3 linked regions of the Tribolium castaneum genome follow. The protein of the gene in region 2 purifies or fractionates together with the protein of the main gene of each other region. This does not show direct contact. Links are inferred from orthologs where the notes say so. Each region holds a gene or a part of one and is shown on either strand. Other genes may lie near its edges. The genes, in order: kel, Cul3 and inc.

The links.
Region 1: the proteins of Cul3 (region 2) and kel purify together in Drosophila melanogaster (affinity purification with western blotting; 3 studies listed by BioGRID). This does not show direct contact. The link is inferred for Tribolium castaneum from reciprocal best matches to the Drosophila melanogaster genes Cul3 and kel.
Region 3: the proteins of Cul3 (region 2) and inc purify together in Drosophila melanogaster (affinity purification with western blotting; 4 studies listed by BioGRID, with this or other methods). This does not show direct contact. The link is inferred for Tribolium castaneum from reciprocal best matches to the Drosophila melanogaster genes Cul3 and inc.

The regions. Positions count from the first base shown.
Region 1 is NC_087399.1:9,463,597-9,467,803, forward strand, and holds the start of kel (ring canal kelch homolog), read left to right. Parts: upstream 1-1,374; 5' UTR 1,375-1,528; coding exon 1,529-1,575; intron 1,576-1,628; coding exon 1,629-1,775; intron 1,776-1,820; coding exon 1,821-2,222; intron 2,223-2,269; coding exon 2,270-2,366; intron 2,367-2,372; exon of another isoform or gene 2,373-2,524; intron 2,525-2,571; exon of another isoform or gene 2,572-2,833; intron 2,834-4,207. Other genes in the region: erlin-1, read right to left, coding at 694-774, 829-942. UniProt on the Drosophila melanogaster protein: Component of ring canals that regulates the flow of cytoplasm between cells. May be involved in the regulation of cytoplasm flow from nurse cells to the oocyte during oogenesis. Binds actin.
Region 2 is NC_087398.1:13,267,019-13,271,193, reverse strand, and holds the start of Cul3 (cullin-3), read right to left. Parts: upstream 2,930-4,175; 5' UTR 2,499-2,929; coding exon 2,433-2,498; intron 2,145-2,432; exon of another isoform or gene 2,058-2,144; coding exon of another isoform or gene 1,998-2,057; intron 1,946-1,997; coding exon 1,748-1,945; intron 1-1,747.
Region 3 is NC_087399.1:7,251,164-7,254,447, reverse strand, and holds inc (BTB/POZ domain-containing protein KCTD5), read left to right. Parts: upstream 1-1,316; 5' UTR 1,317-1,348; coding exon 1,349-1,534; intron 1,535-1,579; coding exon 1,580-1,837; intron 1,838-1,885; coding exon 1,886-2,077; 3' UTR 2,078-2,759; downstream 2,760-3,284. Other genes in the region: ragulator complex protein LAMTOR2 homolog, read right to left, coding at 2,784-3,093, 3,143-3,210.

The sequences.
Region 1 (4,207 bases), on a different chromosome or scaffold from region 2:
ACAAGCTTTTATTATCCAAATTTTGTTTTTGTATTGATTTTGAATAAGTTTTTATTAACTTAAACTCGAAAAAAAACATTTAGTTAGGGTATTTATGTATCAATAACTTGATATATACTATTATTTTTATTTTTATCAAGCACATTGAAATCATTGGGAACGGCCACGTCTGTAAAAAAGACGCCCCAACTTTTCATATTTTTATTTTTAATTTGTTAAAAAAATGTTCAATTTGTTTTCAGTGGCGCCCCATTTTGGCTGGCGCCCTTAGGCTTATAGCCTAGTTAGCCTAATGGGTAATCCGGCCCTGTCTAAGAACTCTAGTAAAGCACTGATATAATTGTTTTAATAGTGAACATATGGTTAACACTGCTTGTTTTATGATCATATAACATTATGTTCTGTAATTCATAGATCACAACTATCACTTGCAACAAAAAATAATTCGTGAAGTGAAATGTGTGTCAAATCATATTCAGTTTGAAAAAGCAATCGTGCATACAACAGTTTCTTTTCTTTTGATAGTTTTATAAATCCAAAATGTACATCGGCAGAAAAGGATAAAACAAATTTTTCATGTTTCAACGTGTAGTGTCTTTATTTCTACCGATGTATATTTTGTATGTGTTATTATGTAAGTGGTATTTTTTGCGAAAATATAATTAGGCATCTCCTTCTAGTTTTTTCTTTTACCTGAACCGATTTGTATATTGTCAGCAAGGGTATCATCATATGATACCCTGGTGAGCTTGTTACAGGCAAAAGTGCGCCTCCCTGAAAAATATTAAAAACAATATTGACAAATCAATAGAATAATATAATACATACCCTAAAATACACCCCAACATGTCCCTCTTCTATCCGATGCAAGGAATAATTAAAAATGATAAAAAGAGTTGATAACACAGTTCCAATTATTAAATGTTCAGTCAAGTGTGACATTTTTATGCAAATAAAGCAATCGACTGGTTAAATATTAATATGAACACATCATCTAATAACACTTATCGGAAATCTTTAATTTCTACTTGGGACATTTTTGAGGTTATGTAAGTTGAGAAAGAACAACCGGGAAAACTACACTCCACCAAGCACAAACACAATATTGATTCTGAACACATACTTGAGTGAACACTAGAAAATAAATAACAAAAAATCAAATTTTTTCACAAAAAATTGAATTTTTACAAAATGAATCCACATCCACTTTTTGCTTCACTGTCGCAGAATTGGAGTTTCTTACGTTCAAAGTCACGCGTGGTTGGGGCCTATTTTATTTTAAAGAAATAGGCACAAGATAACAAAAAGTTCAAAATTTTTTCCTGATAAATAAATTATTTAACCACGCACTTGCGCATTTGGTGTGATAATCAGCTGTCGCGCAACGCGCATGCGCACTGAAACACCAATTAATCGAAGTGCGTTTTATTTCATAATTTTGCAATAAAACCCCGAATAATTCCTCGAATCGTGCAGCGATGTGTTAAATCACAATTTAGCTCAATTTAGGAAAAAATCTATTCAAGCAATGGACTTAGCGCCCGACCAAGACATTGTTATGGAACGCCAAGGAAGGTAAACAAAGCAATTTCCGCATTACAAATTCCCACAACAATGTGAAATTCCAGTTGTTTATTGCTGCGCTGTGACAGTCAAAACTCCCTCGATGAAAGCTCCCAGAAACAACTGCCGCGGTCTGGGGGCAAAGACAAGCCACCCTATCGCAACTACCACCACACACAGAGGGCCTTTGACGCTATGAATCTCCTGAGAAAGTAAGGGTGATTGGTCAAGTGTCGTCACTTAGGGGGCTGTTTCAGACAAAGACTGCTGTGCGACGTGATTTTGGTCGCAGACACCGTTGAAATACCCGCTCATAAGATGGTCCTAGCCGCTTGCTCTCCCTATTTTTACGCCATGTTTACAAGCTTTGAGGAGAGCAAACAAGACAGGATTGTTTTGCAGGAAGTGGACCATCAAGCTTTGCAAATTTTGGTCGAATATGTTTACACCAGCGAAGTACAAGTCACTGAGGATAACGTACAAGTGTTGCTACCAGCCGCGAATTTGTTACAATTGACTGATGTTAGGGATGCTTGTTGCGAATTTTTACAGGTGCAGTTGCACCCAACTAACTGTTTAGGGATTAGGGCGTTTGCTGATCTACACGGCTGTTTGGAGCTGCTGGCTCATGCCGAATCATACATTGAGCAACATTTTATGTGGGTATGAGGGCAAGGTTTGATAAAATATTCATTTTTGGTTTTAGTGAGGTTGTTGAGTGTGAAGAGTTCCTAACGTTGTCGCATCAGCAAGTTTCTAAGCTAATTTGCAGTGATAGACTTACCGTACCTTCGGAAGAACAGGTGAGTCGGGCGCCTGGAACAAGTGAGGTTACGTAATACTTTTTTTGGATTAATTACACAAATAAGTGATTTATTTTTCACTATCTGAGACAAAGAGTGTCGGAATTACCACACGAGTTGTACTGAAGGGAAAATGCGATTTTAAGGACTTTGCACAAGTTTGTTGGAAAAACTAGACCAGCCAACTTAATTCAAATGTTAACAGGGCAGCCACATATGGCGCATAAAATTCCTTTGTGGGAAATTTCCAAAAATCGCAAGATTTTAATACAATTAAATGCACAATGGTATTAACTACTTTCGGAACAGGTGGCCGAAATTTATAATTTTGCAATTTTTAAACGATTTTCGATTACATGGCGAAATTTTCAGTGACAATGGATGAATGGAAGCACCAGTGTCACGCAAAAAAATTAAAGATATTGAGTTTCTAGTGTACTAAAATAACGAATAAAGTATTAATTACCTTTGGGGTGGTTTTTTTGAATGTTAAAATAGTCTTAGTTTTGCTAGTTTCTTTTAAAAATCGAGAAGAAGCACAAATCGCACATTTTGCAAAATGAAATCAAGGAGGCAGATAACAGGGCTGCCACACATGTTATAAAATTTCTTTCCGTGAATTTTGAAAAATTATTTTTTATTGTAATTATAGGATTAACTGAATTAATTATTTTGGGAACATTGATTTATGATAATTTTGCTGTTTTTAATAAACGATCTGCGCTGTAAATTTGGAAATTTTGAGTGACCATTGGGCCACCAATACCACTATCACGCAAAAAAAGTGATGAATTAATTAATTACGAGTTACTAAATGAGGGATGAAGTAAATTAATTATCTTTGGAGTGACTTCTGAATGATCATCACTCTAAATTCTATCATTTTTCAACAAATATCACCAAGAAAACACAAACTCACAATTTGCAAAATTAAATCGAAGTGGCGAAGAACAGTGCTGCCACACATTATGTACAAAATTGTTTTTTTGAATTTGGAAAAACGAAAAACTGTACTAAAATTACAAATAAAGCATTAATTACTTTGGGGTGGTTTTTCCGAAGGTTAATTGATCTTAGATTTGCTATTTTTCAACAAACAACGTGACGAAAACAGAAATCCACAACTTGCAAAATTAAATCGCAGTGGCGTAGGTCAGTGCTGCCACACATTATGAGCATTAAAGTTCTCTTGTTTGAAATTTCGAGAAATTGCAAGAATAAAAAACTTTGGAATAATATCTCGAATTTTAATTTGTCATAATTTTGCAGTTTTAAACGATTTCGAAGGCCATTTCATTTTTTTCTATAGCAGATGTTAAACTATTTCTTTAGCATTTTTTAAAGGAGATAAAGTAACACTAACCGCAATGGTAGATAAAATGTTTAAAATTTATTTTATTCAACTGTATTCAATTCAAATAAATACTAATTTAAAGGATTAACGAATTAACAATATTTTTTTTTCTTAAACTTGAAGTCCTGCTATAAAATAATGTATTACACATGACGATAAAGATTATTTCAACAATCTCTTTATCATCTTGTATAATAAATAAGAGCTTTTAACGAACTTTCGGCTGTAACTTACTAAAAAACATTATAACCGGTGAAAACGACTGAAAACTTAATTACAGTGTGAATTTGATAGTTGTTCGAATAGTTTATGATAGGAGAGCTCAGAAAAATTAAAGTTCTTTTTTCTAAAGTTTACATGACTCTTAGGCGGTGATTAGTGGAAATAAAATTCGATGGTATCTTTGGAAAACATCAATGTTTTTTTTTTACATTTTTATATTCTTTTTTATGAAAGGAGTTATTTTCTGTGGTTGTTTCTGTTAACT
Region 2 (4,175 bases):
TAAAAAAACGCCTACTTTAATTATCAATTCAAATGATCTCCTGATAGTTACATACTACCACAAAATAATCCAAATTCCACAGAGTTCGATAAATTGGAAATTCATTTTCTAAAACTTTTATTGCCATTTGGAAATAACAATTTTCAATATATTCTCACTGTCTGTTGGTGTTAGTTTTATATTTTTTTTGCCATTTCTTTCAAATTCTCTGTTAAATTTGTCTAATTTGGCGGTTTCTTTCTAAAGTCGTCAGAAAAAGCTCTTTTATTTAATAATAACAATAGAGTTACTGATAATTGTTGAGTACAAAATCCCACTAGAGTTTTGATTTGACTGACTCATGAATGAAATTGAAGCGGACATTTAAAACGTTCATCGGTCGAAATTAAAAAAAAATTTATTCAAAATAATAAACCTTTTATTGATTTTTATGCAAGTATTTGGTTTATTAACAATAAGAGATACAAAAGGTGCAAAAAATTACCTCTTATCTCATTTTCTAACTTCCTCTTCGTTATTTAAGGTATATACCTCACTAAATCAATAAAAATTTTGCAAGATAAAACATTACTGCTTCTTATTTATATCTTATATGGCATTTTGATAAAAAAAATATGTAGTCATCGTGCATAAACCCAATAATCATACTCACACAACAACAAAGTTTAAAATAACAAGGTGAACATTACGATGTTTAAGTTTAAATATTATTAACAATAGTACTTCCATCTTTGAAAGTCGTATTTATGACAAACACTTTTGTATTGTTAAATTAAATAAGAAAACAGTTGATCAAAAAAGTTCACTGGCATCCTTACCTTACATTTCTATAAATATTCCACACTTTTCATATCAGTTAACTCCAGAATCATAATAACGATTCTTTTTGTTCACCTCAAAAAACAATTCAGATATTGCCTTAGGGCAGATAGAAGAGCAGGCTTCGAAGTACTCTGTTTATTAAGTTTGCATCAATGAATAAAACTATCTCTGCTTAGATTCCACAATATTACCAACTTAATTTCAAGTTCACAGACCATGATAATCAGAAATTTAACAATTGAACACCATGATGTGATGAAAAAAGTATTATATGCACTAGTCCAAATATGAAAACAAAATAAAGATTCGGGGCTTTCCCAAAAAGATTTCTTTCATTTTCTCAAAAATTACAAAAATTTAAGATCTTTACTTAAAAATAAAGCTAATTATTTGAGAAATTGTTTTAAGTTATTATTCTTCACCATCATCTACAACATAAATAACAACAAACACTGTAACTTTTAGCCTGCATTTGAAGAAAACACCACTGTATCTTCTGGGGAAGCCCCGAATCTTTTTTTTCTATATTCGGACTACTGACGTGATTCTCTACAATGTTCTGAACTCGGAATTCGCCAATTCCGAGACACCTAGTATATTATTAAAACAATAGTGTTAACTATTTTCACAATTTCTGACCCGATAGTTGGAAGTAAATATCAGTAAATATTTACGAGTCAAAAAATTACAAATCAAACAGTAACTTCCATATTGTATTGTTGCTAATTAAGAGAATAGAAGTTACCGTAACCACTTAAAAGAATTTAGTCTGTTAAAAATAACCTGCAATCGAATACTCTTGGGCATTTGCTGTGTTTAAATTAGTCATCAAAGATAAACACTGCAGGGAGACTATTTAATAAACAATGCAATTAACCCAGTAACGAAAATTCGTTTTTTTATTTCATAATTGAATACATCTTACCTTTGATTCTAAATGATGAGTAACAACCTCCTTGAGCCCAGTGTATAATTTCTCCCCATGTTTATGGAGAACCATAGTGTACGCATTTCTGTACAACTCTTCAAAACTTAATCCTGAATTGTTTTTCTTTTGAATTTCTTGAATGGCGTTTTTCAAAAGGGCCCATATGCTCTCCACATACTTCTCATCCATAGTCATCTGCAAAACAAGTCAAATTAAGGAACGATTCGCTCGTCAACATCCCAAATACAGATTTAAAAGTGATGTCTCCGGGTGGATCATTCTGGCTGCAAAACTGTCCGTTTTTCATGTCTGGTATTTACAACACATAAATTTGGCAAATTTTAAAAATGGTCGTGAAAGAAAACTGACATTTATGACAATTTGTGGCTTCAAATTTGATTTTTTTGTTTAAGTGGAGAAAAATAACAAAGATGCTTGTCCCAAGTGAGGGACTGGGGCAATAATGGGGGTAAAATCGTCGTTTTGGGGTTGTTTGTGATCATGGCACCAGTGTGATTTTCAAGGGGCTTGTTTTTATGCAAATCAGCGGGTTTTGTGACGATCGGTGTTATTTTGGTGTGATTTTCGACGGTCATTGATGATAATTATCGCGCAAAGCGTATCGGTTTGACATTTCTAGAGGACAATGCACTTGATCGTTGGATAATTTTTGGGCACTTACTGGAAAGGCACGGATCCTCATTTTGCCTTCCTTTTTGCTGAGAGAGGAATTCTTCATCGCTGACATTTTCGCAACTCGTTAAAAACACCACGCACCAAATTCGGTAATTGCACAAATCACTCGTAGCTGGGCTCAAAAAAGGTGGCTTTTTCCGGCGTCGAGTCCCACTTTTCGCAAGAACAACCACTCATCTTTAACAACAACACTAAACAACAATGCCCGTTCCTGTTTTTCCGACTTTTCGAGATGATGTTGGTAAAGGCGATCACACTAGCGAAAGTCAATCACACGAGACGGATTCAACTGGCGGAAAAACTCGCCCTTTTCCACTTTCGATCGTCTTTTCGCATTAAACGCGATTTTTTACGTTTCGATGCACAAACTTCACATCGCCATTGTCAACGTCGAGGAAAACGAAGAGAAAGTTTCTTGGACTTTTCAGCATTCAGCTGATTCGTTTTTTATTCAGTTCAGAGCCACGCATACCGCCAACATAACAAACAACAAAGTCACTAAAACACACTAGAAACGTCATTGCGGGTCACTTCCAATTAGTTTTTTTATTGTTTAAATTTTTTGAATAAATAATGCGTTTGCAAAATTAGTGATAAATAAACATTTTCGTCTGGAAAATGGTACTAAAGCACATTAAAGAGATTGATCAGTAAACAGCACCGACTGTTTTCTTTCATAAAAAAAATGGGGTAATCGATACCTGATTGATTTTTGATTTATTTAACATATAATTATCGGTGTAATTTGTTGAGAAAAAAATGCAACAAGTATTACAGAAAATTTAATATGTTGTTGGTTTTTTTATTGTTAAAATTTTTTAAATAAATAATGCGTTTGCAGAATTAATGATAATTATGTTTTTATCTTAAAAATGGCACTTAAGCATACAGTGATTAATTATTAATTAATAACACCGACTGTTTTCTTTCATTAAAAAAAATAAAAATTTGAATTGAAGTATTCGATACCTGACTGATTTTTTATTTATTTAAGGTATAATTATCGGTGTAATTTGTTGAAAAAAGAGCAACAGGAATTTTAAAAAATTCAGTTTGTTATTGGTGTTTTTAATTGTTATTTTTTTTTGAATAAATAATGTGTTTGCAAAATTAATGATAATAATTTTTATCTTAAAAATTGTACGGAAGCATACTTGGTTATACTTGAGATTTCAGACCAATGGATTTGAAAAATTAGTTGAATATTCGTATAACGGTTAACACATAACAAACCAAAAAAAAAACAGGCAGATAAAGCAGAAAATTCTTAATAGTATGACGTAAACATAATGCAAGAATTTTATCGTAAGCTATATTTTAAAAAATCTCAAACTTTTACCAATTTGCAGTCTCCCCATATTTTTCAAAACGCTGCAAATACGGTTACAGATGCAAGAAAAATGTTAGGAAGAAAGTTGTAGACAATTAAAATTCTTACAAAAACGTTGGTGAGATATCCCTATCTTTATCCATTTAGACCCTAAAGTGGTTCAAAGACGGACAAGCTACGGTAGTATTGGAAAGTTAATTTATATTTAAACGTTAAACCGTTGAAAATAGAAATATGGTGTCGTGCATTTTTTTTGTAGAAAATTTAATTCACAATAATTTTGTTCCTTTGTTCCTTACATCTTCAACCGTATTCATAGTGATAAGCTGGAATGTAAATTGACAATTCTAATTGATAATTCTTTGCGCATCGTTGCATATTTATCAAAATGTTGCGAAT
Region 3 (3,284 bases), on a different chromosome or scaffold from region 2:
CATTCTTATACGTTTTCTTGGTATGACAATAAATATATTCGTGAAAGCATCTCCAAGTATTGTGCCTCGACCATAGATGAAATAATCATGAACTTTGAATGATGCAATGAATGAATGAGAATCACCTTCAATGTCCACCTCATCCTTTAATCTTACAAGTATATGATGTCGAACGATTGGGAAAACACACATTTGAGTGTCTAAATAGTTTAGAACAAATGCCCATGTTTGTTTGTCTTCTCCCCATAGTCCATCATGTATCATATTTCGAACAGATCTTGTTTATTAGGTGTCAGAAGACTCTGATCGCGCTAACGATATTATCGTTTCATTGTAACGTTTTGCGTTAAATTGTATTATAAAAATGTGTAAGCTTTTTAATATCACCAAATAAAAAAACTCAAATTTAATAAGTTATGCTACAAATACAAATAATATTTAAGAAAAAAATAAATACGTTCACATCGTTACTTATGTGTAATAATATCTTTTACACAAACAATGTAAAATAGTAACAATCAGGAGGTAAATGTTTGATATTTTTACAGGCTGCCACTCCGACCGGTAATTTTTTTGGATGTGGCAATTGACTTTCAGTTCAGAAATAAAAAAGGCATTTTGGAATGTTTAAAAATAACGGATTTTGTAAAGCTTTTCTGGGTGATTTGAGTGTAATTATTATGTTTGATTTTGGATGATGTTCAACAGTTTTCCCATGTGACCATTTTCTGGTGATCTATATGATTTTCGAGTATTTTTAAAAGCATAAAAAATTATTATTTTTGGGAAAAACGTATAAATTTTTGCTTTTTGCCTTTTTGCCTCTTTGCTTTTGCATTATTTTGGGAGATTTCAACAGTTTTTTCGTGTGCCCAATTTTTGGTGGTCTGCAGATATTTGGTATTTTTGGGGTGCATAAAAGTTAATTCTTGGGGTTTTAGGGCTTCTTCCGTTGTTGACTGTTAGGAAAAACGGCTAAATTTTTAGGGTCCTGCCTTGTTTTTTGAAGACGCCAAATGTCGTGATCAAGAAATGAAGAGGCGTTTTCTAAGATATTTTCCAAGATTTTTAGATGTTTACTTTTGGGAAAACTCTAAATTTGTTTCATTCTACCCTGTTTTTCGTGGTCTACTGATGTTTGGGTAGTTTTGGAGTGAAGGAAGATTAATGCTTCTTAAGAGATTTTAGGCCTTTTAAGCTAAATTTGTAATATTCTGCCTTGTTTTTTTAGAAGAAAAATGTCCTGGTCAAGATGTAACATTTTATACTCTACTAATTTGTCTCAATGGGGGCTTGTTAGTTCCGATTTGGTGTTTTCGTTTCCGTCGCGTTGGTAGGTAAAGTAAACATGGCGGAGGATGGTGTGAATTCAGTGGACAATAAACAAACATTTTTTAAAAACGGAAATAAGCAATGGGTGAAACTGAACGTAGGCGGGACGTATTTTTTAACGACTAAGACGACGTTAGCCCGCGATCCAAATTCGTTTTTATTCAGACTAGTCCAAGAAGATAGCGATCTAATTTCAGATAAGGTGAGTGTCTTAATCAGTCCCCTGGCTCTAAACTTGTGGCTTCAGGACGACACCGGCGCTTACCTAATAGACCGCGACCCCAACTACTTCTCCCCCGTTTTAAATTACCTCCGCCACGGCAAACTAGTGATAAACAAAGGTCTCGCCGAGGAGGGCATCCTAGAAGAGGCCGAATTCTACAACGTCGCAGAACTGATCACTTTAGTCAAAGAACGGATATGCCACCGCGACAATCGACCGAGCAAAGACAGCAAAAAGCACGTCTACCGAGTGCTGCAGTGCCATGAGGACGAGCTCACTCAGGTGCCCACTGCCGCCTAACCTACAAACGTCACACTTTGTGTTTTCCAGATGGTTTCCACGATGTCCGACGGCTGGAAGTTCGAGCAACTAGTGAACATCGGCTCGCAGTACAATTACGGGGCTGACGAGCACGCCGAGTTTTTGTGCGTCGTGAGCCGCGAGTATGGGGCTCGCGAAGGCATCGAGGTGGAGCACAGCGACAAAGCGAAAGTGTTGCAACAGAAAGGCTCCCGAATGTAATTAGTTTTAAATACACGGACTGAAACAATATCGGGGGGCGCAGCCCCCAGACATTTCTAGGATTTTTTCGTGTCAATGCTGCCGCTACTCAAGATTTTTGCTTTTTATTCATTTATTGAGGTTAGGACGCCATTTTCGTGGTAACTTGATTGATTTACAAAAATACTCGAGCCATTTGACATTAAATGTCGCTCGTCTTTAAGGCAGGGTCTAACTCGAGTCGAATTGTGTGGTATACGTCCGCCAGACTTTCCTTTTGGCGTATTTTAGGTCAGGTGCCTTCAAAAACCAGTTTTTCCAAGAGGCGAACTTTACGAAACGCGGCAAGAAATTGGAGGTTTAATTATAGTATATTTTGTGTAGTTTTTTCCATTTAAAAGTGTGTCGTATTTACGTAAACGCACAAAATGTACTGTAACCATTTGTTTTTATCTTGCTTCAAATCATGACAAAAACTAAATCACTAAACGTTTTCAAGCAATACACTTTACTTTTGGGTGTTTAACACACTAACTCAAAAACTCCCTTAGTTGGCGGTACTGTTTCTGTATAAATCAAATCGTTATTCCTTTCTTTAAGAACCTAAGCGTCTGTATGATAGATCCTATTTTATACGGGCTGTCTCTAGAGTAATGTTTTGTATATTAAAGTTTGTTTATATCAATAAAATTGTGCAATCAAATCATTTATTAACAAAAAGCCTAACCTAAGACGTAGCCACTTGTTTCAGTGGATTTTCCAAATAAATGGCCAAAGCATTCGCCTTTTCTTTCAACATCCCGAAACCTACGTTGTTTTTAGCGTACAAACAAAGCAACAAATTGGCAACTTGTGTTATGGCAATTCGTCCATCAGTGCACTCGATTAGGACCATTTGCGGGTGTTCCTCCCTAAAAGCATTGCGACCGTTTTTCTCATACGCACTCCAAATATTGCTAGCGATGGCTGCAGTCACCCGTGCGTCTCTATCACCGTAGCCACTGTACGCCAAAAGGGCCCCCTCTTGGTTCAATAACCTAAAAATCAAATTACAAAAGCGCACCTGGGGGACGCCAAAAAACGTACAAGGTGTTTTCGACGCCGCCGGTGTTCGCCTGACTCAAAACTTGGGTCAAAGCCTTCGGTTTTAACATTTTTAACACAAAAAATAAATCGAAATGTCAAACATGGACGTGTGTTGCCAACCCAAATTTCGTCTAACCGTGAC